Linked DNA regions of Notamacropus eugenii. The protein of the gene in region 1 interacts with the protein of each later gene in a biochemical or structural test. Links are inferred from orthologs where the notes say so. Each region holds a gene or a part of one and is shown in the gene's direction. Other genes may lie near its edges. The genes, in order: DCAF11 and SLBP.

Region 1 (14,900 bases):
CTCCCCTAGGCCGCCTTCGAGCTATCAACCCTGAAAACGGCTTTTTTGGTGTAGCACCCGGAACTTCCGCAAAGACAAATCCCAATGCTATGGCCACAATCCAAAGCAATACGCTCTTCACTAATGTGGCTGAGACTAGTGATGGTGGCGTATACTGGGAGGGCATTGACCAGAACCTCCCACCTGGTGTTACCGTCACTTCCTGGTTGGGCAAGGCCTGGAAACCAGGTAAGTAAAAAGGACCAAATTAAAGGGCAGAGGTTCAGGGTATGGTCTCAGTGAATGCAGGGGAATGTTTCTCTGACCTACCTCAACCCCTGCCTTGTTGTTGTTCAGTCATTTCAGTCATGTTCAACTCTTCGTGGCCCCATTTGGGGATTCTTGGCAAAGATACTGGAGTGGTTTGTCATTTCCTTCTCCAACTCATTTTACAGATGAGGAAACTAAGGCAAACAGGGTTAAGTGACTAGCCCACCCAGCTAGTGTCTGAGGCTGGATTTGAAGATAAATCTTCCTGATTCCAAGCCTGGGCACTCTATCTACTACATCACCTAGCTGCCCTAACCCCCACTAGATACCTGGAATTCCAGCATCCTCCAATATCATAGTATTACAAAAGTCTTTTCTTCCAGAACTCCTAGATTCTGGCCCTCCCCAATAGTCTTTGCAATGCAGCAAGAACTTTTTCTTTCTTATTCCTTGAGGTCTACTTGTGGGAGGAAGGAACATTCATCTTACTTGGCCCTCAGCCACCCTTTCTGCAGCCTAACCCTGGCATCATCCTTCATTGTATAAATACTTCTCTTCACCTTCCTTCACCGTTGTCCTCAGGCTAAGTAATCTCATGTCCCTTAGTATTTCCTTATAAACCAGTTTTTCAACCCTTTCATCATCTTTGGATCCTTGTTCTGAGCCCTCCCTTAGCTTTCTCTGTCCCTTGGAAGTTAAGAAGTACAGAACTCTTGTGTGGGTCAGAGCGGGGAGGAATATAATGGAAGGATGGTCTCCTTGTGGTTCCAACAGCCTATATTCATCCTTTCAGGGTCTATTATCACAGTCACCCTCCTCTATGTAATTACCCTCATCTTCTCAAAGACCATTATTAAGTTCCATACCACACTCCCAACCCTTCCCATTCAACGGAGGAAACCCAGAAAATTAAATCTTTCCCCACAGGTCAGTTTCCCAAACCTTTCATCATATTTGGATCCAGCAGTATAACTATGGAGTCTTATGACTAATCCCAGTTCCCAAATATATACTGTATAGCAGGGTACTAAGGGAGGAATGGATGGGAGCGGGTAAGCAGTCAGAACTGGAGTATGTGATGTTATCCAGGTGTCTCCCAACCCAGAAATCTGACCTGTAAGTCCTGGATTAGAAAGAGCAGTGTTCTACACTCATTACAGATTTCAGAGGTTTCCCTTTGGAGCATCTCCCCACCTTTGGTCATAATACATTTTTCTGATGTATCCTAAGTGCTTTCTGTATATTGTCAATTCCACTCAACAAGGCAAGAATTAACTCTCATATTCCAGTCAGTGTCTGAGCAGAGAACATTAAAAGAATCTCCTAATATCACATCAGGGATAAATGTCTAATTCTAACTCAAGGAATTTGCAAGGGGGGCTGTCACATCACAAGCCCCAGGTCCTGGATGGATTCCAGGTACTCTCACATTTTTTCATCGGCAAACAGCAAGTCATAGCATCAAAGAAAGAACATTCTCTTCTCCAGAGTCAGGGAAGGAGCCTATTATCTTGATCTGAATTACCAAAAAGAGTTGTGGACAAACAGCAGGGCATATATATAGAGAGAGTTGGATTCAAAGTAAAAGTGTCTGTCTCGGTGTCAGGTGACAAGGAGCCCTGTGCACATCCTAACTCACGATTTTGTGCCCCGGCCCGCCAGTGCCCCATCATGGACCCTGCATGGGAGGCCTCTGAGGGAGTACCCATCGATGCCATCATCTTTGGAGGTCGACGACCCAAAGGTATGGTCTGTGCAGACTCAGTGTACTGAGAATCTGCCTTCTGACCCAGTGATCTGGTTCTATATAGGGGTTGAGTTCCTTCAGTCCAGATTCTCAACTGAAGAAACCCTTCTTCAGAGTTCCCATCTGCCCTGCCTTAGAGATATCAGACTAGAGACTGAAAGGAAGGCAGTGGGTCCAAGTTGATCCGTAGGGCACTAGAGGGAACATGATAGGCAGGGGGATTGGTTGAGGGCTGGGAAAAAGGCTGTCTGTAATCTGCTTAATTGGCTTCCCAGGAGTACCCCTAGTATATGAAGCCTTCAATTGGCGCCATGGAGTCTTTGTGGGTAGTGCCATGCGCTCTGAGTCCACTGCTGCAGCTGAACACAAAGGTGAGTCCCACTGCCCATCACTAATGCCACATCCCACTTCCTGACCTTGCCTCCTTAGGCAGACCCCAATCACTGAGCATTCCTTAGGCCTCCTCAAGCCCTTCTTTATCTCCTGACCCTATCTACCTTAATATCAAACCCCAAGGAGCCCATGGGAAAGCTGTTACCATCCAGCACCTTCATCATGTACTGAGAGATTCCCAATATCTCACCTATTACATAGCTCCTCTAATCTTGATGCAGAGGTACCCCCTTCTCCTTCCAAGCAAGGAGAATAACCTGTTATCCTATTCCACATTCCCAGGAAAGACCATTATGCATGATCCATTTGCCATGCGGCCCTTCTTTGGCTACAATTTTGGGCGTTATTTGGAGCACTGGCTGAGCATGGAAGGGCGGCAGGGAGTCCAACTTCCCCGAATCTTCCATGTCAACTGGTTCCGGCGTGATGCAGCAGGCCGATTCTTATGGCCAGGCTTTGGGGAGAATTCTCGTGTGCTGGACTGGATCTGCCGAAGGCTAGAGGGTGAGGACAGTGCCCAAAAGACACCAGTGGGTCTAGTGCCAAAGGAAGGGGCACTGAATCTGAGTGGCTTGGGGTCTGTGGACTTCTCTGAGCTGTTTTCATTGCCTAAAGAGTTCTGGGAGCAGGAGGTCCGTGAAATACAAAGCTACCTGAGGGAGCAGGTTAACCAGGACCTGCCCCGGGAGGTACTGGCTGAGTTAGAGGCATTGGAGGGGAGAATACGAAAAATGTAATCTGGGAACACAGGCCAGAGAAACGTACATAGAACAAGAGAAGTTGTACTAGTCACCTCCTTTCAGCAGGAGAACTACAGAGAGAGTTGCAAAAAATAAGAGCAACTTTGATTTGACTAACAACTTTCATCGAGGCCACAAACCAGGATGTGGTTGTTATACACACTGTCTAAGCTGTTGTTTCAACAGTATTCTTTATTTTACATAAAATTTGTATTGCTTTCATTAACTATCAATGCACATAGTTATTCACTATTTTCAATATTTCTCCACCAGTTCTATGATCCTCTTCCCCCCAATCCCTCAATTGATCCCCATCAAAGTCTTTGCTTATCCAGCCTGCAAAAAATTCCAAGCTGTTTGCATGAACCATGGCTAGCATTGCACTTTGCTACTGGGGAGAGCCCAAGGGGAAGGAGGGAGGGGAGCACTGTGCGACCTTCATTACCCCAACACAGAAGGCCTACAGCAAGAGAGAGCTAGATCTGGAGTTAGGAGGACCCAGGTTTGAATACCTCTTCCGCCGTTTGCTATCTGTGTGACCTTAAATAAGGCGCTTAAGTTCTCTGAGCATCATTCTCCTCATCAGTAAAAGAAGTGGCTTGGGCTTTGTGGCTTCCAAGGCCTCTTCCAACTCTAAATCTATGAACCTGAGTCATAGAACCCACAGTCAATCCCAAAGTTGGGGACTTAATATTGAAGCAATATAAAGAAAATCCTAGTATTTCTTCCTCTTTTACTGACCCTGCTCCCCAATGCCCCACCTTTTCTCCAACCTTCCAAACTCAATTCTTCCCTATCTCAAGAGAGAAGTGTTCAGAACCTCACACACAACAAAGTCCTGGTTCTACTTGCAATAAACTTGGCCTTTTCCATGTCCTGTGGATCATTTCTAGAGGCAATAGAAAGAGTGCTAGAATTGGAGTCATAAGACCTGGGTTCAAATCATGGTTCTAACTCTTAGCACATGTGTCACAACCTCTCTGTGCCTCACTTTCCTTGACTTAAAAGCAAGTGAGCTGGACAAGATAACCAACAAGGTGTCCTCAAGCTCTACATTTATGATCCTATGACCTCTTCTTGTTCATGTCTCAAGTATCTTCTCTGTTGCATAAACATTTTTAATATCTTCATCCATTAACTTCCTGGACATATGTTTAGTAAATTTATAAATGATGCTGAGGTGTCATTGGTGGCTTGTACCCAGATAATAAGACCAAGATCCAATTAATAAAATGGAATTCACAGAAATCCCTTCAGGGGAAGGTACTAGGGAAGTGGAAAAAATAGTCCTGAATCAGATAGAAGATGAATGGATGTATAAATAAAACAGAAAGACCTAGGGGTCATGATGGACCACACGCTGAAACCACGTCAACAGTACAATATGTAGTTGGGTTTTTTAAGTGAACACAATCCCACTCCAATAATCCAGTGGCTCTCTGATCTTATCAACATCTGATGTTACAGATAAAAGCAAATACATTCCTGCCTATCCTATGTAAATCTGTGGCCTCCTATAAATCTGACACAGGAGTCTACTCAATGTACTGAGAACTGCTTTTTTGTTCTTTTTTCCCCAAATTTATTAATTTATTTGTTTTCAGTTTTCAACAATCCCTTCCATAAGTTTCAAATTTTCTTCCCCTTTCCCCAAGACAGCATGCAGTCTTATATGTGTTCTACACAGACATTCCTATGAAACACATTTTCACATTAGTCATGTTGCATAGAAGAATTAAAACGAATGGGAGAAACCATGAGAAAAAAAAACCAAAACATAACAGAGGAGGAAATAGTCTACTTCATTCTGTCTTCCAACTCCTTAGTTCTTTCCCTGGAGGTGAATGGCATTTTGCATCATGAGTTCTTTGGAAATGTTTTAGGTCCTTGCATTGCTGTGAAGGGCTAAGTCTATCAAAATTAGTCCTCACACACTGCAGCTGTTACTGTATACAATGTTCTCCTGGTTCTGCTCACTTCACTCAGCATCAGTTCATATAAGTCTTTCCATTTTTTCTGAAGTCCACCTGTTCATCATTTCTTATAGCACAATTGTATTCCATTACATTCATACACCACAATTTGTTCAGCCATTCCCCAATTGATGGGCATCCCCTTGATTTCCAATTCTTGGCCACCACAAAAAGAACTGCTATAAGTATTTTTGTACATGTAGGTCCTTTTCCCATTTTTATGATCTCTTTGGGATAAAGCCCTAGAAAGGTAATTGTAAGGAGTCCAGTGGGACACACTAGCCAACCATCTATCCCTCCCGGTCAGAGAACTTCCTCTGGAAGGGACCTTAAGGGCATTATATTCTAGTGCCTTCATTTTACAGTCACTGTATGACAAGTTCAACCTTTTTTTTTTTTTTTGATGATATATTTCAACACTTCCCTGATGATATCCTTTACCCTGCCTCTCCTGTACCGTTTGTCTTTTATAACACACTGCAGCCTTCTCACATTCATTCACTGGCTTCTCTATTGTCCTCTGGGGCACCCTTGACTTCAGGCCTTCAGAGTGTGTATTCCACACCTTACAGCCATCCTACACTATCAAAAGGACCTCCCAATCAAATCAATATGTACTTTGATACTTGGTGAGTTCAGTACAAGAGTGAGCACAGAAATGCTAGAAAATGTTTCGAGAATAAGAAATAAGGAAAGCCAAAGATTTGCTGAATGTACAGATGTCACATATCTATATAAATGAAAACTTCAAGAAGATTTGGGAGGTTAATACAGCAAATGATATAACAAAAAATGAAATATTTTAACAGACAGAGAATCACTCATTACTAATGTGGGAAACTGTCTGTATCCAGTCAGACTACCAACTTGATAGAGCAAAGTTCAAAATTAATACAAAACTAGAAAGAAGACAAACAGGAGAGAGGAGGAAATAGGGCATTCAAGTGAAACAACTTCAACTACCACAGTTGCTTACTCTTTTAAAAATTCTGATCAAGGGTTTCATAAATAGCACGTAATAACTTCAAGGTAAAATTCTCTTCAACACTTGCAGTCCTGTGTCCTGTTCTAGTATGCAGGGATAAGGCAGAGACGATTACAAGGTTTAGAAACATATTATCTGAACAAAGGGAAAGGTATTGCCAGGTATTGCCACACCTTGTAGTCATTCAGGTACATAACAGCACCTGAAGCACAAAGTATCTCTCACAGTTTGTACAGTATGATGTACAATTAAGCCTTGATAAATTATTTTAATGAGGATGGTAAGATTGGTCTAGGACATTTCAAGCCAAAGATAATTGGTAGAAAATGTTCTTCTTCCTCGTGGCCAGGGCTGAGTATGAAATAAACAACATAAGCAGGTGCGCTGGCATTCCTTACTACATGAAAACTCCGCAGGTTGTTCCAAACTACAGGGAAGTGCACTTGCCCAATGATTCAGGGCAGTAGGTAGGCTGACTGCTGGTACAGTCAGGAATCTAAACAGCCCACTGAGTATTCTGGCTTCCCTCATCTGCCCTCTGGTGGAGATGCTAGTGAGCAGGAAAGCTGACCTAAGATAGGCAGTCAACAACACTGAGAACCTATTCAGTATAGGATATGTGGAGGATGGGGAAAGGCACTGGGGAGAAGGCGGGCAGAAATAAAAGAAACAAAAGGTCCTTTCCCTTTCATACAGCTGGGGAGAAACAGTACAGAAGCACATCAAAAAGAACATTCACCAAGCAACAAAAGGCCAACGACTGTAGAGTGGCGCCTCACTGATTCAGAGTGGAGGAGAAATATGATTTAAAAGTCTAAATTATGTTTTCCAAAGATATAATTTTATTATTTTAAGTAATAATCACACCTTATTGTAACTAGCTTATTACAGCTACTTCACAAAAGGACTTTCCCACAAGCATCTTGCTGGCATTTTCCTCCAATGCCATGAAGTAGGTAAGGGAAGCATTTCCCCTATTTTAGGGATAAGTTTAGGTGACTGCATCATTCAGCTAATGAGCAGTGGAGGCTAGAATCTCAATCCCAGGCTGGGTGGGTCTTGACACGTGTCTGCAATGAGACTCAGCAGGTGAAACAAACTAACTAGTTCTCAGGCTACATCGAGAGTCCAGAGGCATAAGGACCATCACACTGCGCTGCAGGGAGGCTGCTACAGGAATACTGTATCCACATCTGGGAATGGCATTTTAGGAAAGACTGAAAACTAGTGTTGCCTAGAGTCAAGGGCGTGTCGGGAGGTAAGTGGGCTGGTAATGCCATCCCAGCCTCAGGACCCAAGTAAGGCTGCTTAGCCTGGGAAAGACACATTTAGGGAGTAGAGGTAGCGCAGAAGTAAAGACAATTGTTTGGTGCCAGGAGCAAAACCAGGAGCGAACTTGGGAAGAGCAGAGATGTAAAGAGAAGGGAATCCCCAAGTCAGGAGCTTCCAACCCAGGCTGCCTAGACGGCCCCTGCTCGGTGGGTCGGAAGTTCCTCCACTCTTTCCACAGTTCCTATTTAGGGACAGCTAGGTGGGGAAGGGCATGCAGTGATGCACCTGCAGTTAGGAGGACCTGAGTTCGAAGACAGCCTCCGGCACCTTCCAGGTGTGGAACCCTGAGCAGGTCACCCAGTCTGTTTGCCTCAGTTTACCCAGCACTACAACGGTGACAGTTGCAGCCCCCACCTCTCCGAGGGGCAAGGACAAACTATTTATAAAGAAAGCTTCGCCAGCGCCTGCCACACAGCGCTGTACCCGATTAGCGTGTGCCTGCTACAGACACCAGGTTCATGCTATACAACCTACGTGGCTAAGCTAGGTCCGAAACGGGCACAAGTAAAACGATCCCAGTTAAAAAGGAGAGGAGGGAGGGGGATAAAAGCTGTCTGTGGAGTGGGTGGATGCCTCTCCTAGCGTCCAGCTCTGGAAGGCAGGAGGCGGCGCCATGGGAGGCAAAGATTCGGAGGCTCGATGGAGAGCGGGGCCAGGCACACTCGAAGGGGCTGGGCTCTCCGTCCCCGGAGGTCTTCGGGCAGGGGCGGCGGGGGCGGCACCGAGAGGCTCCCTTCCACCGCTCCACTTTTAGGGCGCTATCCACCCAGATCACCCGATAGAGGCGGGGCCCGCGCGGTGCACCAGCAGGGGGGGGGGGGGGGGTGCACCAGCAGGGGGGCTTGGAGGCGGGGCCCGCGCGGTGCACCAGCAGGGGGGGGGGGGTGCACCAGCAGGGGGGCTTGGAGGCGGGGCCCGCGCGGTGCACCAGCAGGGGGGGGGGGGTGCACCAGCAGGGGGGCTTGGAGGCGGGGCCCGCGCGGTGCACCGGCTCGGAGGAAGGGCCGCGCTGGCTCAGCACAACAAAGGGACTTTGGCCCTCGGCCTTGGACTCGACCCTAATTAGTTACACATCAACCCGGAGCCAAGGAGGGGGGCCGGGTACCTGGTCGGGGTGGGGAGGGAAGAGGGGCACGACCTTGGACCCTGCACGCACCCCGGCAGAGAAGGTCCACAAACACCCCGGGAGGGGTGCGGGAGGGGTGGGGGAGGGCCTCCCCCCAGAGCAACGCCAAGGTCCAGAGCGTTCCCCAGGGCCCGGGGCGGAGGGGGAGGGGCGGGGCGGACATCTTTAGGGCGGGTCCGTCTGAGCCCCAGCACACAGATTTAGGGGTGCCTGTCCTGGGAGTGTGGTGAGAATGGGCCACGGGGTGGGTAGGGCAGGCCGGCTGCCAGGCTCCGGCCTAGAAGGCAGGCTCGCGGAGCTCCACGCTGCCGGCCCACACCGTTGGGCGGCTACTAAAGGCACAAAAGCCCCTGGGCCCCGCGCGCAGGCCCGGGAGGGCAACGTGCTGGAAAGGGCGGCTCTGAGACCGTCTAAAAAGTGTGGATCCCGGGGAACTGGCAGCTTTAGGGACCGACTTCAAATGATGCCGCTGGTGCTCGGCGAAGGCCAGCCCCCAGGCGCCTGGCTAGCAAATCCGCGACTAGGTATTAGCATATCCCGCCTCTCCCTTTCTCCGCCAATCAGCACCACCCCAGAAGAATCCGCGGCCGCGCCTACCCTCCGCGTTCCCTACCTATCCCAGCCCTCGGAAACAAAAGTCAACAAGGTTTCCCCGTCCCCTCCAGCCTCGCCCCGCCCTTTCACCCGCTGTCCTCCCCTCCTCCCCTCCACAACAAGCTCACTTAGTCCCGCCCACTCGTCAATCACTCGGACCCGCCATCCGGCGAGCGCACTCGGGTGGGCGGGGCCAATTGGCCGATCGCGTGACGCAAGCGGGAGGCGAGCCCGGGAATCGGAGCGCTGCGTGACGAAGCCGCACAAATCTGTTAGAGCCGTTAGGAGAAACGCCGTGGATAAATATAAGCCGGGCCTCACGTGCCGCCCTCTCGCCTAGGTTTTATGTGCTGCCCTTGGTGAGTGAAGAGTCGCGGGCCAGGCATTAACCCCTCTCTTGGGTGGGAGGAACCCTAACCTCCCCCCCCAACCCCGCGTACACACCCCGGACATACCACGTGGCCCTGAGCGGGAGGGGGAGGGCGGTCAGAGGGGAGGGGGAGGGCTGCGAAGCCGGATTCTAACCTCATTGGCTCTCGCCTCCGCCGGCTGTAGCAGGCCCGCTCTCTGATTGGTGGGCAGGCTGCTTTCCTCCAGGAGAGCTCTGATTGGCGGCCTCCCGGGGATCTCCCCCTCCTCCTCCCTTCCCTTCCCCCTGGAGCTCGGCTAGGTGAGCTCGGAGGTGAACCTAAGGAATCTCCCGGCGAGGGCTGCGACTCCTGGCGTTGGAGAGTGATCGCCGCCCTCCCCGCCCCTTTCCGCAGGCTGCAGCTCCGTCGGCCTCCCTGGAGCCCTGGGAGCTGTCACTGGCGGAGGGGAAGGGCCCCCTGCTGTGAAGAGGCCCCGGCGGAGGGCTGGAGGATGCAGTGACCGGGAGATGGACTCGCCGGGCAACAGCAGCGCCTCGGAGGCCTCGCCGTACGGGAGATATGAGCCTCGGTACAGCGAGGAAGATGACGATGTGGATCTGGCCTATTTCCTCCCCAGGTAACTGGCTCTGCGCCGTGCGTGGGCCCCCACGTGGGCCCCCAGCCCCGCCATCCGCGCGGAGCCCTGCCGGCCTCGGGGCCCTTCCCCAAGAGAGGGCGGCGCTGTGCGTGGGGAAGGGGGCACAGTGACATGCCCACTGTGGTAGTGAGGTGCCCGACTTGCCAAGTAAGTAAACAAAGGGGAAGGGAAGGGGGCGGGGCTCCGCGAGGTCGTGTCGGCCGCGACCGTGGACTTGAGCTGGAAGATCCCTCCGCAGTTGTTTGTACAGGCAGAACTCTTCTGGTGGTCAGGCATTCCGCTGCTGACTTTGGCTCTGGAATCTCGGCTGAGGTTGCCAGAAGTCTGCTGAGATACCTCCCGAGAGCGGGCTTCTGCAGCCTGATGATGCCCAAAGCTCGTCCTCTTGGGGCCCCCGCTAACAGAAGGGCACCCGAGATTCCCTCTCTGAGGTGAAGTGGCTTAGTATTGAGGGATCACCCCCTGCCATGAGGTCTCTCCACAGGGGCCAGGTGAGACTGGTACAGGGAGGTGGTGCCACCAGCCTGCAGCTCATCCATACGCTCTCTGACTCAGATGATGACAATGACAGCCCCTGGGAGGGTCGTCTTGGTGACAGATACAACCCACCTGGTAAGAGGAAAGGGTGCTTGGCTTCCAGCATCGTAGGCATCAGTCGGCCCAAAGTCTGGCTCCGCAGGAGGTGGGGAGAGAGATCAGTTAATGAGATGAAGAGTCCTTTGAACCTCATACCTCCTTCCATCCTCCTTTACGCTGGTCACCTTCCTGGCCATTCATCCTCATTGACGTCTGTCTTCTGTGACTGAAAGGCTGAGGCAGGGTTGCTGCTTCTTCTTACAGTGGATTCAAACCCAGACACCCGAGAGCTGGAGTGCAATGAGATCAAGACGCAAGTAGAGCTGGCCACAGGGCAGCTGGGATCCAGTAGGATAGTGCAGGAGCAGAGCTTTCCTCGAATGCTGCACCAGGTAGGCTCCCTTACCTGCACTGAGCTAGGCACTTTGTGGATAAAGAACTGATTTAGAGTCAGAAAGACCTGAGTTGGAACCTTGTCTCAAACATTTGCCAGCTGTTTGACTCTGAGCAAGTCACTTACCCTCTCATCCTCAGTTTCCTCATCTGGAAAATGTGGATAGCACCTGCCTCACAAAGTTTCAAGGCTTGATCAGCTGGTGTATAGAACGCACTTGGCAAATGTTAGAGTTCTGTAAATGTGTTAGCTATTTGGGGGGTACAGAAGGGCAGTCAGAAGTTCTGCCAACTACACCTGGAATGAGGTGAACTCTAGAGAAAAGAGTTTGAAGCTGGCAGCAGAAGTACCTCGTGTATGGTGGCCTTACTCTCTTGTCTCTTCCCTGCAGAGAGAACGTGGCCTCTGCCATCATGGCAGCTTTTCTCCTGGGGAGCGATCCCGTGTAGTGTCTCAGTAAGTTTGGGACCAGGGTACTCTCATTTTGAATTTAGTGGGACCAGATTTGAGGAAGGTCCAGAGGACAAGTAGATGGGACCATACCATAAAATTAGAAGTGGACATATTAATAGGGAAAGTTGGAGTTGTTAAAGTTGGGAAGGAAGGGTAAGAGTTACTGCTATTGGAGGAAATGAGAAAGTTAACCGCTGTTGAGTAAGGAATATAATTTTTTTTATTAAAACTTGGTAGTATGGATAAGGAAAAAAATTCTGAGCAAAGGGAAGAGGGACCTCATGTACTGGTGTATCTGGGGTGCTGTTGACACCAATACCTCCTTACCTTGATGTCCTCTTACTGTTATTTTTCTCCTTTTTCTCAGTTTCTTGCCCAATTACTTGAGCTTCACTGACTCCTATTTCCATAAGGCTTTCTGTGGCGTGTACAGCAAGGATGGTCAGATTTTCATGTCCGCTTGCCAAGGTACCTAGACCCAGTGACCACTCCCTTGAATGGGGAACCACGAACCCAACCCCAGCACAGAGAACAATTTCCCATCAGCCCATAGATTGGGGAAGCCTCTGTTCCAAGATGCCTTCTGGTTGGGAGATGTCAGCAGGATGTAATTCTGAATACCCTGCATCAGAAGGAAGATCTCATAGCTGTAGTAGGTGGCCAAGGGTGAAAAGAGAAAGTTTCCTGAAACCTATCTATTCCCAATTCTCAGACCAGACAATTCGACTGTATGACTGCCGCTATGGCTGCTTCCATAAGTTCAAGAGCATCAAGGCCCGGGATGTAGGTTGGAGTGTTCTAGATGTAGCCTTTACGCCTGATGGGAACCACTTCCTCTATTCCAGCTGGTCTGATTATAGTGAGTATACCCACCAGCCCTTTCATCTTTCCATTTTGGACCCTTTAACCTCCATCTCCCAGGATCTCTCCTCTGAGCTAGGTCCTTAGGCTCCATTACAGGAAGCCCACACTCTCAGAATGAGCTTTCACCCCTCCGCCATTGGCATGGAGATCGCTTTTTGTGCCTTCTCTCTCCTTTGGTCTTCTAACTTCATTTATAAAGTCTTAGACTTGAAAGAGACTTTATATGTCATAACAGACCTATGAAGAAATCTTCCTTGTAACATCCCTAACAGATGCATCTGCTTGAACATGTCTAATGAGAGGGAACTCATTACTTTTACAAAGCATTCCCTTTCATTTTTGGATAGCCAGAATTGATTAGAAAGCCCTTTCTTATATTGAGCTAAAACCTGCTTCTTCTAAAACTTCTACCTGTTGAATCTTACTCTGCCCTCTGAAGCTACACAGGCCCTATCCCCAAACTTCGAGTGACTCTTGTCTCTCTTGCTTCTTAGTTCATATCTGCAACATCTACGGGGAGGGAGACACACACACTGCCCTGGATCTGAGGTACTGGCTTCCCTCTTCAGCTAGACCCACCAGAAACTTAGGGAAGGCCTTCCATAATGAATTTCTCTGAAACTGAGGCACACGCTGAGAGGGCAGAATGCAGGGACTATCTGCTTCTCTGAGTGGGAGAGCCCTTGGGTGGGAGCTACATATCATTTCTCATTGGGAGGAATAGAATGCAGTAGATGGATACAGCAGAAGTTCCAAGTTCTCTGAGACATCCCTTCATTCTGACACATGTAAGCAGGACCCTGTTCAGTTTCCCTCCAGAAATGGGGTGTATGGCTTTCTTTAATAGAGACTCAACGGGAAGTCTTCCTGTCTAACAAATTCTTCACTCTCTTTTAGGCCAGATCAACACAGTTTCATCGTCTTCTCCATTGCTGTGTCCTCAGATGGGCGAGAGGTGCTGGGAGGGTGAGTATTTTGGTATTTCTCCACAGTTAATTAAAAAGTTCTAATCTGGAGGTTAGGCCTGGTTTTGAGAAGGCCTACATTCTGACACCCCTAGGCAGTCATCTCATAGGTCCTCAACCAGGCTTACTCTCAGGTGAATTTTTCCCATTTCTTTCCTAGTCCCTTCTCATTGTGGAATTTGAGACCTTAAATTTCTTCTCAGCTTTGAACCAGCTTTTCTCCATTGTATAGTAGTTGAATTGTGTGAAATTAGGGACCTGGCCCTAAACATAAAATCTTCACAAGTTCTCCCCAGAGACTTCAAAGAAGTTACTTCTTGAATACTGACTCAGTTGTTACCCAGCCCACACCACTTTCTTTCAGTGCCAATAACGGATGCCTCTACATCTTTGATCGAGAACAGAACCGCCGCGTGTTGCAGGTACTATTCCTGAGAACTAAACGTCATGTTTTCCATCTCCTTTTGGCTAGAATATTCAAATATCTGTCTTTTCCCTTCTCTAGATGGAATCCCATGATAACGATGTAAATGCAGTGGCTTTTGCTGATACAAGCTCCCATATCCTGTTCTCTGGGGGGGATGATGCCATTTGCAAAGTTTGGGACAGGCGCACCATGCGTGAGGATGATCCCAAGCCTGTGGGTGCACTGGCTGGGCACCGAGATGGCATCACTTTCATTGACAGCAAGGTGAACAGAGGGAAAGAAGTTAAACCCCAGGGCATAAGACCTGCTTCTGCTTACTGGTCCCCAAGGATTAGGGTTCCCTATACTAGATCAGGTCCCCAAGCCACCATCAGTAGGTTGACTTAGCCGGTGCCTGAGAAAGTTGAAACACCTGGCTAAGAGGTAGGGTCTGAGGGAAATACCAGAAAATGAATTTGATTCAGTGAGAATAGGGAGCAGTCTCAGAGGGACATAGCTTTTGTCAATTGACCGGAAAAATAAGGCAAGACCCAAGACTGCAATGATTGTGTTAAATGTTGCGTTGATTGTATTGATTTGTGGTCATGGGTTCACAGGGTGATGCCCGGTACCTCATCACCAACTCCAAAGATCAGACCATAAAGCTGTGGGATATCCGGCGCTTTTCGGGTCGGGAGGGCATGGAAGCCTCGCGGCAGGCAGCCATTCAAGAGTACTGGGATTACCGTTGGCAGCAGGTGCCTAAAAAAGGTGGAGTTGATTTTGGCATCATTTTTAAAGAGTTGATTTTGGCATCATTTTTAAAGGGTTCTATTGATCTTGTTTATGTTGCTTCCCAAGGACATTTGGCATCTTACCCTCCAAGGCCAACCTCCGCCCCTCCCCCACAACAAAAGTACAATTAAGTAAAACCAATGTATTGTCCATATTTGGCACCATGTGCCTCATTCCTAACCTGTAGTCACCACCACTCTTTGTGCCAAGAAGAAATGAGGTATATCTCATCATTCATGGTCTTGAAGTCAAGCTTGGTGAGCCCATCGATCAGAATTCTGATGTCAGAAGGGGCAAGAA
Region 2 (15,061 bases), on another chromosome or scaffold:
AGGAAACTGAGGCTGTAGAGGGTTAGGTGACTTGCCCAGGGTCACATAGCTAGAGTATCTGAGCCTCGTTTTGAACCCAGATCTCCAGGGCTTGATCTGCTGTACCATCTAGCTACCTAGATTTGGGAGGTGACCTCAGAAGCCATTTAGTTCAATCTATACCAAAATTGGAGCTCCCCCTATAACATCCCTAGCAAGTGGTCATTTATTGAACACTTAGAGACAAAGAAGAGGGAATTATTACCTCTGGAGGGTATCACGTTCCACTTTTGTGCAGACTAGTGGAAAGGCAGTACTACTCAGGATTGTGGACATTTAAGAAGCACCAGGAATTATGAATTTCTACTGTCTTATTCACTGTCTGATTTTCTGGACTTGGGTAAAAACCTGGCCCCTGATAATGACCTCAGTTTTGTTTTTTAATCTGGGTCACTCCATGGAAATGACCTGGTAAACATCGGACTTTGGACTTTAGAAATAAGTCATGGAGAATAGTCCATCAGTGACGGAAACAGAAGCAGCAAATAGATGCAGAGAAGACTTGGTTGTGCTTAGGGTGAGGATGGCATGGGAAAGAGCAACTGATCAACACTCATTTATTAAACACCTACTATGTTCCAGGCCCTGGGGATATGTTGAAGAAACGCTCAACTCCACTCATGGGATCTAGGATCTCATCGGTGTGGCTACTCCAAACTGTGGGTAGACCACAGGGTGTCCTCATCCTGAGCAATTCTCACTCGTGTCTTCCCAGAGAAGATCTGTCCAATACTCTGGAGACCTTCCTCTATTTCTTTTAATAATTAATATATGCCAGTTCAGTACCCTCACTCTTTTCTTGGTGTTTCTATTTGGCTAAAATCATGCCATACCATGATCTCAAGAAGCCTCACTTCAAATAACCCAAAAGGTTACAGAAAGATGCAGGCTACATTGTTAATAATATTGACTTGTGTGTAAGAAGTCATAAAAACAGCTCCCATTTACACTGCCTGTCAAGATTGATATTCATTTTTTATAGAATTATTTCCATTTCAAAGATGAGGAAACTGAGGTTCATCCAGGTGAAGTGACTTTGTCCAGAGTGAGGGTCAAAGCCAGAATCTGAACCCAAGACTTTCCTGGCTCCAAGCCTACCTAACTTTCCATTCCATTACACTGCCTCTCAACAAGGACGTGGAAAAAGAAACAAGGTGACATGTTGAAACAACAAGGGATCTCGCAAGGACTTGAGGCTGTTATTTCAGGCAAATAGTTCAACAAAAATGGTTCTCTTTCACGAAGACAGAGGATACAGCAATATGTTGCGAAAACTATACCCCTCCTTCAAGCAAGCATGAAGAGAGGGAGGGACCCCTGGTCAAAAGCCCTGTCTCACTCAACGCAGTCCCTGACAAACAAATGGCTTCCCATCCCTAGTCTGTTACAAAACTAACAAGAGGCTGGAAATTAGCCAGAATCACAGAATATCGGAAATGGGCAATGAAAAGTCACAGACCACAGAATGTTGAGTGTGGAAAGGAAGTCCAAACTATACAAACACAGCATATCAGAGCTGGCAGGGGGCCTAGGAGACATCCTGATCCAACCCTTTCATTTCACCGGAGGGAAAACACAGAGGAGCAGGAACTTGACCAAAAGTGAATTTCGGTGCTTTTAAGGATGGAATCACTTTGCATAAACAAATAATTGCAAAAATATTTTATCTATGTCTGTCTCTGCACTTTTTCTAAATATCACAGACTGAAAAAAGTCTGCTTTTTCCTATTCCCTCAAGTTACATTTTTACAAGGAGTAGGGAAAATAATTTTCCAACATTTTAAAATTTTGATCTTAGGAAACCTCATGTAGCAAACATTGTTTTGCTCATAGTCTCTGAGGTGGTTATAATGGGCATTTCCATAGTGACTTTTACAAAGCACTTTCCATTCACCAACCCACAAGGCTGACTGTACAGGGATTGTCGAACCCATTTCAGGTATGAGTCAGATCCAACTCTGACCCCTGCTTAGTGCTCTTTTCCACTTCACCATAATGGGATCAGACTGGAGCATTGCCAAGTTCCTTCCGGGCCTCCGTTCTATGGTCTTCCCTATCTAAGGGCTTACATACCGTCCTTGCAGTGCAAAGGCATCTGGAAAGACAGAATGGGGGAATGAGCAATGCTCAGATGCTTTCTGTTCCTGAGTGCAGCAAAGCAAGAAGTCAAATAATAAACACTAATGCTGTACTAGCAGTAGCAACACCTCTGGTTCTGGTGTTGTTCAGTGGTGTCTGAGTCCTCATTTGGGGCTTTCTTGGCAAAGATACTGGACTCGTTTGCCCTTTCCTTCTCCAGCTTTTCTGACAGATGAGGAAACTGAGGCAAGCAGGGTGAAGTGACTTGCCCAGGGTCGCCCAACTATTGAAGTGTCTGAGGTTGGATTTGAACTCAGTCTTCCTGACTCCAGACTCAGCATGTTTAACTGTTGGGCTACCTACCTAGTTGCCCTAGGTTTATGGATTATTATTTCCACATAACAACCCTAAAAGGTAGTGCAAGTATTGTTATTTCCCATTTTAAAGATGAGTTTCAAAGAAAGGAAATTACTTGACCAAGGCAACCCAGTCACTAAGTTTCCTAGACACCATGCCTCTTCCCATCGAATCTATCCCAATATTGCAGAGTAGGTCACATATCTATTTCAAAGCCATGGGTTTTCTAAAGGTAATAAAAAGAGCAGCCACAGTAGAATAAATCAGCCAGCATAATAATGTCTTACACTCCTGGCCAGCAAAGCAGATGTCCTGTCTCCCCTACAAAGCCAATGCTCTGGCCTTTCTTGCTGGTGGCTACCTAAGATAAACTATTCTGGGAGAAAGATTCAATTCAATTCAGCAGACACTTATGAAGATCTATCACTGGCAAGATCCATTGTCTGGGTGAGGGGAAGATGCAGAAATGAAAGAAAACCTTATCTCTATATAAATCCATGGCTAGGGGCTAGGCCATCTGATGAGTCCCACATTCTATAGCTAGGCTAAGTAGAAAGAGAAATATTTTTTTTCAAAGAAATCAATACATGTATAATTTAGAAGAGCATTAAAATAGTCAGTAGATATATCTTGAAGATAGAATTTGTAAGTATAGTCCTCTCACACACTTTTATTAGAAGGGAAGGAGAATCAAATCATGTCCTAGACACATCTGTGTCCATTAGACCCGTGATATTCCTGTGGAACGTACACTCTGGCCTCACTCTCCCCACCTGCACTGAAGGGAGATAGGACTTCTGCTTTGCAGGCCAGGAATGTAAGACACATTAAAGCTGGCCTATTTATTCTGCTGTGGCTGCTCTTTTTATTATCTTTAGAAAACCCATAGTTTTGAATTAGCTATTTGACATAGCTAATATGTCATACCTTCCCTCCAAGTCCTGGGGGTAACTGCCAGGGTTGGGAGGTGGTATTTCTAATGCCCTTGTCCAGTGTGTTACTTCCAATATCAATAAATCAGTAAATATCTCCTCCATATCAGTTAGCCAATTAACATCAGTTAGCTTTTAGGCAATTATTTATTAAAAAGGTACAACAGTCTCCAAACAGAGAGCACACTCTCCTTTACCACCACAGCTCTCGGGGAGAGTAGGTTCAATCCCCAAGTAGTTACTACCAGTAGTCTGTCCACAAAGTTCACTTGGAATATGACATAACTGAGAGGTGACTCTCTTTGGTGCTTGTAGACTGGTGTCTCCACTTTCTCTCCTCTCACTGTCTTCTTAACCCCTTACAATCCAGATTCCAATCTTATCATTCCACCAAAACTGCTCTTACCAGTGATATCTTGGTTGAGAAATCCAATGACCTTTTTCTCAGTCCTTATGGTCCTTGATTTCTCTGTTGCTTGTGACAATGTTGATCACTGTCTCCTCCTTGATGTGCTCTTCTCTCTAGTTTTTTGGGACACCATTCTCTCTGGTTTCTTCTCCTACCTCTCTGACCACTCATTCTTGGTTCTCCTTTGCTGGATCCTCCTCCAGATCACACCCTCTAAACCTTGGTGTCCCTCAAGGTCTGTCCTGAACCCTCTTTACTACTTCACTTGGTGATCTCATGAGCTCCCCTGGATTTAATTACCACCTCAAGGATTTCCAAATCTACCTTTTCTGCCCCAATCTCTCCGTTGACCTCCAGTTTCCTTTCAGACATCTAAAACTAGATGTCTAGTAGCCACCTGAAATTCAGTATGTCCAAAACAGAACTCATTATCTTTCCCTCAAACCCTATTCCCACACCTTTCTCCCCTTCTCTATTACAGCAGAGGGTAATACCATTCTCCCAGTTCCACAGGCTCCCCAACCTAGGAGTCATCCTGGATTCTTCATTAACTCTTAGTCTCCATATCCAAGTTATTGCTAAGGATCTGCTGATTTCACCTTTGCAGTTATCTCCAGAATGCGTGGGCTTCTCTACTCTGACACAGTCACCACTCTGGTGCAAACCCATATCACCTCTGGTTGAGTGGTTTTAGTCATGTTGTTTGTGGGTTGTCTCCCCCATTAGATTGTAAGCTCCTTCAAGGCACGGACTGTCTTTTGTCTCTGATATTCCCAGTGCTTAGCACAATACCTGACACACAGCTAGGGGATTAAGAAATAAATGTTTATTGACTAATAAGTCCATTCACTGCTGCTCTAGGTCAAACAGGTTGCTCTCAGGGCTGGTTCCTTAAAGCCTTGACTGCTCTGGCCAGCACGGATTCTGCCAGAACTCTGGTGGCTCTTATGACTTCTCAAAGATCACAAGGCTGTAGCTTTCCATCTCTGACATCCATCCATTTAAGATCAGAAAAGGATGAACACAACAGAAACAGAAACAGAGGCATCACATGCATTCACATCTAGCGGGCATCTCCTACTACTGCTATCTCTCCCCACAACCCCATGGCATCCACCATTCTTTGTTCCTCTTCACTTGAAAACCCCGGTGGAAGAGAAATCAGGTCTGTCAGTCCAGACCTTCAGCTCCAGATCAGCAGCTATTTAAAAGACTTTCTGTCGCCATGCAGTAAACCAACATGACCCATAGGATACTTGCATATGCAACGAAGTAGAGCAGGGAAGGGCAGCTCCATTACACACTTACAAAAATAGGCTGACCAAATCTCTAGGTTGGTTGACATCATGCAGGCTCGAAAGACTGGGTTCCCACTGGCCAGTCCTGCCATTACACCCCAATACATCAAGCTTCCATGATTTTTATTCATGGGATGTTCACTTCACTCCATCAAAATGAACATGGCTCTTTCACACCTTAGTTTCAGGAGAAGCCAGAAAAATTCAGTCAATGTGATAAATGCCTCCCAACTTAGCTAGGTTAGCTTCCAGATGTTAGGCATACCAGACATCCCCAAGAACCTGCCAGAACTTCTCCTCGGTTATCATAACCTTAGAGAACTCGAGTTTACCTCCAGACCATAGGGAAGCCCAGGAGGAGACTGTCAGTGTATCACAAAACAATGGCCAGCAAAACTGGGGATTTGTTTATGCATATTTGTTATAAAGGTTTCTTTTTCTTTTCCCTCTGCTGGGGATTGGGGAATGTTGTGGGAGAAAATAAATGCTTGGGTTTTTTTTTTAATTCATTTTAAAAAGAACACATGAATGTAAAAATTAAATAACAGCAAAAAGAAACAAACCAATAAGCAAAGGTGAACATTACTAAATATTTGAGAATACAACTTCTGCAGAAAATAGATCTTTTTTTAAAATGAAGACAAAGTTGAAACAACCAACCGAAGCAATCCGATCACAATAAATTTGATCCTACTAACAATGAATGCAATAAAGGTGTATACCTATACATAAGGATACACACATGCACACATGTCATATATTATAATATATATCATACACTAATATATACATATATGTATATGTATATTACACAAATGAAGTCAAATTTTAGTCAGGGGATTTCTCCATCACTTGCTCCCTCCTTCCCTATTTTCTCCCCCCTTTTCTTTTCCTTTACTTTTCCACCCCTACACTCTTTTCAACTTCCTTTTGTGTGTTTTCTTCCCCTCCTTGAGGGCAGAGACTGTCTACTTTTTTTCCTGTTTGTTTGCCTGCTTAGAACAGTACCAAGCACATAGTAGGCACTTCATAAATGTTTGTTGACTGACTGATCGACCTGACAGGCAGGGTGATCTACCACTGTTCACAGAAGCCTATGACACAGAGGTCCGAATTTGTGAAGAGAGCCAAGGCAAAGTTAAGCGCTCTTCTTGGGGTTTTTTTGTGTGTTTGCCCTTCATTCTCAAAGAGGATCATGACATCAAGGTGATGACATGACTTGCAGTTGACTGATTTGAGGGAGGGAGGGCTGTGCAAGGTCACCAACCTCACTTTCTTCTCCTGAGCCATCTGGGTGCAGTGGCCTGAAATTCCTCAGGATGGCTGGAGATGGCCCAGGATGCAATGTGAGACCCTGGCCCTTTCTGGCTAAGTCTTATCACATTCTCACTTTGAGTGAGATACACCCATTCAATGAATAGGCTTCTTTAAGTAGTTACTCAAGGGATGACCTCTTTAATAAAAAAAAAAAAAATCAAACTGGGTGGAGAAGACCCTCAGGGTTCCTGGAAGTTAAGAGGACCATAATATTTGTTATATTTCACAATGTCATTCATTTGAGCAAACAGTATAAGTTGGTTTCAAAGAAAACTCACAATTTTTAAAAATTGAATTAACTTAGGAGCGAGAATGGGTAATCCTCTGAAATGGTCAACAATGACATTTAAGTTTAATTCCATTAAATATTTCATCATCTGTAATTTTTTTAAAAAGTGAAATAATATCCTTCCTTAATGGATACAAGAGGAAATCCAATGGAGCAGCTGAACTACTACAATTCAAGTGGATTAAAGACAGTTTAAATACCCAGGACACATGCAAAGAAGAGAAAATCTGACACTTCTGATGAGCAGCCTTTTTCGAAAGCCTTGTCTGTAAGATGCAAAGAAACATTTGCCTCTTAAACGGTTGCTTACAGAATGGTTAGATATAAAAGTATTCCCTCATTACAAAGGGAAAATGTTGGTGTTGCCCATGGTGGGAGGTGAATCATATGGCTTCCTCATGTCTCCTGAAACTTGAATATCTGATGAATAATTTTTGAAAAAACTTAGCGCTCTAACTAAATCAATGCAAGGTCTTTCCTCAAATTTATACTCTGATCTAAAATGGTTAAGTGACTAAATTTATGAAGAAGTGAAACCTCTGGTTATTAAGTTGGCAAAATGACATTTTTGATATGTTTCTCATGTTAGGAACTACATACCTCACACATAAAATAGAAGGAAGTAAAGCTATGTTTGCTCGCCATTTGACTCTATTCTCATTTTTTAAAATTTTAAAATAATATTGCATATTTCCCAATTACACGTAGAGAGAATGTTTAGCATCCCTTTGAGGTTTCACATTTTCTCCTGTTCTTTCCTCTCTCCTCCCCCTTCTGTAACACAGTAAACAATCTGACACAGGGTATACGTGCGCAATGGTCATTTTATTTTAAAGATGTAGACACTTCCGAATGTGAAGGCATAAGGATCTCATCCGCCATGAACAAACACGATACCTTTGCTCTGACTTCACCAGAACGAGCACGGCTAATCGATATGTCGAAACAAACATTTAGATTTAGACTGTTTGGGGTTTTGGCTCCAGCTGGATAAAGATCTTTCCGTTCCGTCAGACAAAGCCGCCACTCAGGCTGATTGGTAGGCAACGTGGGCTCCTACTGCGGCTGCGGGAAAGACAAACGCTCCGCTTTGAAAGGCCTGACAACGGAATCCCCAGCAGCGCGGCCCGCGAGGAGGCTTGGCGCGGAACGAGGCCTCCCGCCGAGACGCTGTGGCGGCCAGCATCTTCGTGCGTTACGGGCGCTACCTGTCTGCGGGTGAATAAATGACTGTCCAGTTATCTGTGCTTTAGATGTGCGTGCGGTGAAACCGCGATCACCTCCTCACCTCAACAAAAGACAAATAAAACCATTCACCTGAGACGATTTTGTGAAAGCGCGAACATCGTTGTACAAGAGAGTACTCAGTGTCAGCCAAAGCCCCTGGTGGTGGCGCGGCGCACGCGCACGGCAGAGCGCCTGCAGCGCATGCGCGCGCAGCTGTGCGCTGTTGTCTTCCTCATCCTCGGAGGTTCTAGAAGACTGCGGTTACTGGGGGGTTTGGGGGGGTGCTCGCACTTCTCCTTGTCCTCTGTGCCCATCACAGTGACGGGCAGATGACAGGCTGAGTGGGCTGTTGACCCGGGGTGTATAAAGTCAGCTCTGGCCCCACGGCCCGCTTTCACACCAGCTTGGGCGGTGCAGAGCGGCCGGCTTCGCGTGCCCCGGTCACAGGCGAGGCCCATGCACGTGCCCGGCCACCTCCGGCCAACGGGGCTGGCACTGGCCGTCCCTGGGAGAGGCTTCGGGGCAAGAGGGTGGGCACCACCGGGCACCACGGCCCACCGGCCGGGGAGGGGTCCCAGCTCCGGCCCCTCCAGGAAGCCTCCGCTCTTTGGGCGGCTGGTGGCCCTGCTGACTCAGGGAGCGGGGAGGCCAAGCAGCAGCCGCTGCTCGTTCGGCGCCCAGGGGGCATTGTGCCCTTATTAAGGGCTTACTGTGTGCAACACACAGACAGACGCCGGCCCGACCTCGAAGAGCTCGCTCACCTTCAAAGGCTGAGGCCAAGGTTTCAGCGGCACGCCGGAAGGAAAGGGCCCCGCCTTATCACAGCAGGGGGTGATGGCTTCTTTAATGGTTTTGGACCCTTGGACGCTGCCCTGGGCTGGAAGCACCAATCCCAGTGTCTGGCACACAGTAGGTACTTAATAGATGTTGATTGGTCATTGATTGATTGTGGATTGATCTAGTGGTCAAGATGTGTGTGTGTGGGGGGGTGCTTCCTGTCCGAGCTAGGCCAGGGGCCCGAAGGCTCGGGGCACCTGGATTGACTGAGTGACCTTGGACAAGTCATCTCTCTCGGCACGAGTTTCTCCATGGGTTAAACGAGACTGGACTGGACGGTCTGTAAGCTATGATCTGGACCTCTCTAAGCGGGATACAGTCAGGAGGTCACTGGGCTTGGAATGGAACGGAGCTGAAGTGAATTGGGTTCTCTCCATCTCTCCTCCCGGCCCAGAGCTTCCAAAGATCGGTCTTTTTCTGCGTCCCCGCCCTGAGATGACGGAATTGATTCGGCCCAATCAGCCATGAGCATGAGCCCTCATTTCCCCATTTCCCCGCCCCCTCCTCCTCCCCGCCTTAATCTTCGCTCTCGGCTTCAGAATTTCCCGCCAACACCCCTCCCCAGCCCGCGCAGAAGGAGCCAATGAGAGCCTGCGGCGCGCTGATCTGCCGCCCGGACTTCTTCTGGGTCGAACTAATTCGGAATTAGGGGGAGATTTTGCTTGCGCCTTTCCCAAACCCACCTGTGGGGGCTCGTTTATCCTCCTATACATCTGCGTGCCCTTTTTCCTATTACGTTTTTGCCCCGACGTTAATTGGAAATTCCCTCGTCCTTTTTACCGGATCGAAACTTAGTGCCCTCTTTTCCAGACTCCCCGCCTCCTCCTGACCACGCTTCGATGGTTCGTCCCAGGCTCGCGAGAGGCGGTGGAGGGGGTGGGGGAGGGGTGGGGCAGAAGGCTTATAAAAAGCCGTTGGAGGAAGTCGCCACTCGCGCGCGAAATCAGTCTGCGCCGGTGCAGCGGCTTTGGAGCAGCTCCTCTGCTCGACGTTAAGGAAGGGAACGTCCAGACGGGACTTCTACTCTCGCCAGAGCTCGTCCCCCACCCAGCCGCACACCTGATCATGGATTGCCGGCAGCCGAGTCCTCGCAGTGCCGGGACGAGCCCAGGGCATGGCTGCTGGGGCGGCGACAGCGGGTAAGTCGGGCGACGACGGGCGGACGCCTTCGCCGTCTAGTCTGGGCTAGCGGCGGGCCCGGGCCTTAGTGCGCCTGCGCGGCGGCCCCGGCTCCACCTTCTTGCTCCCCGGGATGCGGGTGGCGGGAAAAGACGCCTTCACGCCGGGAAGGATGCGTGTTAGGAAGGGCCTGGGGGGGGGGGGGGGGGAGCTTGGGATGAGGAATTTGGCCATCGATGTCTGAGTGGGAGCTTCCCGAGGCCCTCTTTGTAGCCCACGTTCCCGAGGGGCCCGCCGGGGCCGGCCTTGGTGAAGAAGGAACCGAGGCGCGCAGGGGGGGAGGGGCGGGCCCCGGGACCCCAACCTCCTTAAAATCATCTTATCCTGTTTCAAAATTGCCGGTACTGAGCCATTGAGATGTGGGGGGGAGGGGTACTCTGAGTGTTGCGTACGAGTGTCGGGGAGTGTCGTGTTCTCTGTAATACACCCGCTTCTCCCCCAAAAAAGGATTTTATTTAGAGAACCTGGGCTTTCTTACTAGCGAAGTCACTTTTCCAGGTCCAAATTAGAATTTCTTTAATTTGTTAAATCAGATTAATTTGGCAGAACTGGAATTGGAATCCTGTGCTCCTGAAAATCAATTTTACATCGTTTCAGTCATTTTTAAAATGAATAATTTGGATTAATTGGCATAGCTGGAATTAGAATCCTGTGTGCTTGAAAATGTGCCTTCCATTGCGCCAGTCTGCTGCTCTCATTTGCACCACCCCCATAAAGGGGGGAGGGTTTTTGTAATCTGCCATTTTACAAATGAAAAAATGTGGGAGAAATAATGTCCCCGAGGAAGCAGCTGAACGTTCTTGCTGCTTCACCAACTGGATGTTGGCCCTGAGGTTGAAAGGGGGGGGGGGGGTGAACACGCAAACCAAGAGGTGCGCTTCTATCCAAAGGATGCCCTTCCATGTGTGCCCCAAATTAAGTTATTAGGCCAAAAACCCAACCTCATGGAAATTTTAGGGCTGAAAGGGATACTACTATAGTCTACATTGATGCTTTATCTTAGATGAGGAAACAAACTGAAACCCAGAGCCCTGAATTGACTAATCGAAAGTCACAGGGAGCCAAGTTTAGAACCTGGTTCTTCTGTTTCCTAGGCTAGTACTTTTACTTTTATCTAATCTCCAGAGCACCTCCTAATTTAGAAGAGATCAGCTAGTAAGTCTAACTTTTTCTCTTTCCTAGCACACTTTCTCCATCCCCATCCCGGTGGTCTCTTGGACGCAAAAGACGATTGGATGGAAGGCACAGAAAACCAGAAAATGTTGAGTCATCTCTGTTTGTTGAAGATGAGTCCAAATCTAGACATGCAGAAGAAAAGGAATGTCGAAATTCAGACAACAGGCTTGAAAGGTGCGAGAAACATACTTTGCCATGGGGGTCTGTTTTCTTTGTGCAAGTTGTGACTGGCAGTCATGAGGGTTTTGTGAAAATTATGTAGTCAGATCAAATTATTTATTATTTGATCCCATTTGGGAGAAATGAGACCCAAAATGTGATAGCTGAAAAGAGGAGGTATCTATCTAGGCCATGGGAAAATTTGAAGGGAAACGTCATACTTCTATTTTTACTAATTGGTCTTCATTTTATGAAAAAGTTGTGTGGTTTATTTAGTTGGCATATTCGAAACAAACCTTATTATTGGTTTCCATTTCCTAGAGTATTTGCTTTCTACTTGGGGAAAAGGTAGTGCTTAATTTGGGAGATGTACTTGAACACATCTCAACCTTTATCCATGTTTGCATACTCTGACAAATATATGGAGAGTTAGGATTTAAACTTGGTTAGAAGTATATGATCCCAATTCATAGAAACCTGGAGAGGCTGGGTTGAATTTACCACTGTGGGAACACTAGTGAGACTGGACCCAGCAAGGGTCATTCTGACATGAACCCATTATAGAATCCATGTTCCCTGGTGCCCGTGTCATTCTTAAATATCATTGACCTAAAGAAGTAATACACTATATTATGTCATGTGTTTTTGTATCCAGTGGATCTGTAATATCATGGATGTGGGTGTTCCTGCCAACAGCAGCACTTACTGCATCACATCTCAATCTGCCCTTTCTGTGCAGCTTCTGTCCAGGTCTTTCCATAAGCTTAGTCTATATTAGGACCTTTTAGCATTTCCAAAAATATATTTTGGACAAATTTTTTTTAAAACCCTAAAATTCAAATTGTTGCAGGAAAATGTCTAGTCACTTAAATTAGGTGTGAAAAATTATCTTGCTATCTGTGGGTTATGCTTTAGTTGATTAAAAATTTTACTACCTAATGTAAGTTTTAACAAAAAGCATTTGGAAATTTAACAGTTAAGAAAATGGGTACAGAATTCTCCAGGTTTTAAAATGATTGAACTTTTTGTTCATATATTTGAGGCTAATTAATTTGTATTGCTAAACCCAGGATTGCCTATTAAGAGCATACTGTAGACAATGAGACCATTGATAAGATAAGTTGATAAAACTGTGGGATTTATGTTTGTGTCTGTGGTTTGGCTTTCGGTTAGCTTTTTAGAAGATGTGAACATTTGTTTCTCCAGGATTGAGTCTCAATATTTCGAGGAGACTGAATGCTGTTAGCCAGTTTGATAACAATAGCGAGCTTTTATTTGTGCTTTAAGATTTGCAACATACTTTGCAAATGTAATTCATTTCATTTGATCCTCAGAATTACCCTGGGAGATAGATGTTATCTCCATTTTACTGATGAGGAAACTGGGGCAGATTGAGATTGTGACTTGCCCAGGGTTACCTAGCTAACTAGTAAAGTAATTAAGGGTCTGGGAACACATTTGAACTCGAGTGTTCCTCCTGACTCCATGATCTCACCTTCTACCCACTTCTTCCACCTAGCTGCCCTTTGAACTTGTACTAACTCACTTTCAACAAACAAAAATTTATTAGGCACTGTTAAACACTCAGTATTGTGTTAACATTGTAATAAACTGACATTGTAGAGGGCTATGAGAAATTATTAACAGAAACAAATTTTTTTTATATTCTTTTTGATGTAGAGAAGAGGGTCATACTAGTTGTGATAGGGTCATTTTTTAGGCATTGCGTAAATTGGTAGAAATGGACTGAATAATTAAATTTACCCTTTTGTTTTGTTTTTACATTTTATATGACCAACAATTATTGGGCTAATTTTTTAAAGAATGAATGAACAGTATCTTAAATGATTTTCTAAGTGACTTTTCAAATAATTTGATCCATAATATTTCTTAATCCTTATATGGAACAATCTGGTAGTTGTGACTTGTGTTTGAAATAGAGTAGGATGATTTTTCATTTGAATGAGACCTTAAAAGGCAAAATTGAATACTTTTACTGTTTGATTTAACCTGTGTATTGTTTCTCTTTGTAGGCAGAATTAGTGAAAATATTTTTAGTCATTAGTAATAACTACTTTAAAACAGTACTTGATTATCTCACTTGACTAACTATAGAGTAGGTTCTGTTATTAGCTCCATTGTAACAAGTGAGGAAACTGAGGCTCAGAAGTTAACTGCTCAGGGTCACAGAGCTGTGTTTGGGACAGGCTTCAGACTTGTATTTTCCTGACTCCACCATTGTCCACTGTGCTCCATTGCCAAAAACAAAACATGGTTGCAGAGTCTTACACTGAAATATGCAGACAGTCTTTATTTTTCTTTGGGCTGTATTCCTAAGAACTATCAAAGTAGACCTTCCCCCATAAGAAATATTCTTTCATTAGACAGTGTTGTAAAATGTAACTACAAATTTCTAAAGTTTGAAATAGAAATATTATGCTATAAAATGGAAACTCTACATTATTTCTACATAAAGTTACCTCCTAATTACATAAAAAGTGAATATATATCATATAAAAAATAGAAGCTCTAGGGGAAATTTAACGAATTTAAAACTGGTACCTGTTTCTATGATAATCACCTTATAGGAAACTTTTTGAAAGGTGTTGAAAATCATTTTATTTGTAGTGATCAGCCTCGTGGTTAAGATAAAAGATGCTAAAGAAGACTTCTTTTTTCATGGCTAACCTCTTCCTTTATTTTGCCTACATTTGTTTATTCAGAATTGAAGCTCCTCAATATCACAACCCAACTGATGACACTTCTAAACAAAAATTAGTAAATGTCAGAATAGTCTCAAACACCCAGCTCATTTGCATAGATCTTTATTTTGTCTTTAAGAAAATATAATTTTATTGACTTTTTTGTTTTTACATCACCCCCCTGTATCTCTTCCTCTTCTCCCTACCAGAGAGCCATTCCATATCACAAATAGTATTTTTAAAGGAAAAGGAAAAAAGTCAGCAAAGCCAATCAATACATCAGGGTGGGAAAAGTCTGAAAATAATTGCTTTGCAGGACACCTCTGTGTCTCCTACCTCTGCATTTATTAAATCTTGCTTTGTGTCTGGTAATATGTAAGGGCTAAAGATAAAAAGAAAAAACAAACAACTGGTCCCTTCCTTCAAAGAGCTTACATTGTAATCAAGGAGACAAACATAATTGATACCCACAAGATAAATATAGAGTGAATGGATGGTAATGTTAGAGGGGAAGGCACTAGCACCTTGGGGAACCAGGGAAGACTCTTGGCAAAGGGAGCTGAATTTTAAAGGAAGCCAGAGGTTTACAAGGCAAAGGGGTAGGAGGGGAGAGCTTTCCAGGCAAGGGAGATAGTTTGAAGCCAAGAGAAGGGACATATAGCTGCAAGTACACAAGTGTGTAGAGGGAAGTATTATGTTAAAGGACAAGAAAGATAAAAAGTCAGATTGTGAAGAGCTTTAAATGCTAAAAAGGATCTCATTTGAATCCTGGAGATAATAAGGCGCCTCTGGATTTTGAGTAAGGTAGTAACATTGTTGGACCTATATCCCTTTATTTTCCAAATATATCTTTTCCTCTACCTCCAGAGATCCTTCCCTCTTGATAAAGAATAAGAAAAATAACTCAGCAAAACATATCAACTTACAATATATACATTAGTCTCCCACTTCCACAAAGAAGGTTGGTGTTATGAAAATGTAAAAAGAAACCCTAATGTAGGCAACAGCATTAAATGTGACAGATGAGTAGGCAAAGATGTTGCCTGAGAAATAGCAAGATT

What was found.
Region 2: the proteins of DCAF11 (region 1) and SLBP form a complex in vitro, tested with the Homo sapiens proteins (2 studies listed by BioGRID, with this or other methods). The link is inferred for Notamacropus eugenii from reciprocal best matches to the Homo sapiens genes DCAF11 and SLBP.

The regions. Positions count from the first base shown.
Region 1 is NC_092878.1:9,158,973-9,173,872, reverse strand, and holds the start of DCAF11 (DDB1- and CUL4-associated factor 11), read left to right. Parts: upstream 1-9,328; 5' UTR 9,329-9,498; intron 9,499-9,768; exon of another isoform or gene 9,769-9,903; 5' UTR 9,904-10,016; coding exon 10,017-10,126; intron 10,127-10,631; coding exon 10,632-10,759; intron 10,760-10,987; coding exon 10,988-11,115; intron 11,116-11,508; coding exon 11,509-11,573; intron 11,574-11,937; coding exon 11,938-12,038; intron 12,039-12,282; coding exon 12,283-12,429; intron 12,430-12,928; coding exon 12,929-12,983; intron 12,984-13,331; coding exon 13,332-13,400; intron 13,401-13,763; coding exon 13,764-13,821; intron 13,822-13,904; coding exon 13,905-14,090; intron 14,091-14,422; coding exon 14,423-14,576; intron 14,577-14,900. Other genes in the region: PCK2 (phosphoenolpyruvate carboxykinase [GTP], mitochondrial), read left to right, coding at 10-228, 1,856-1,993, 2,272-2,367, 2,672-3,126. UniProt on the Homo sapiens protein: May function as a substrate receptor for CUL4-DDB1 E3 ubiquitin-protein ligase complex.
Region 2 is NC_092877.1:50,012,595-50,027,655, reverse strand, and holds the start of SLBP (histone RNA hairpin-binding protein), read left to right. Parts: upstream 1-9,692; 5' UTR 9,693-9,849; coding exon 9,850-9,923; intron 9,924-11,145; coding exon 11,146-11,313; intron 11,314-15,061. UniProt on the Homo sapiens protein: RNA-binding protein involved in the histone pre-mRNA processing.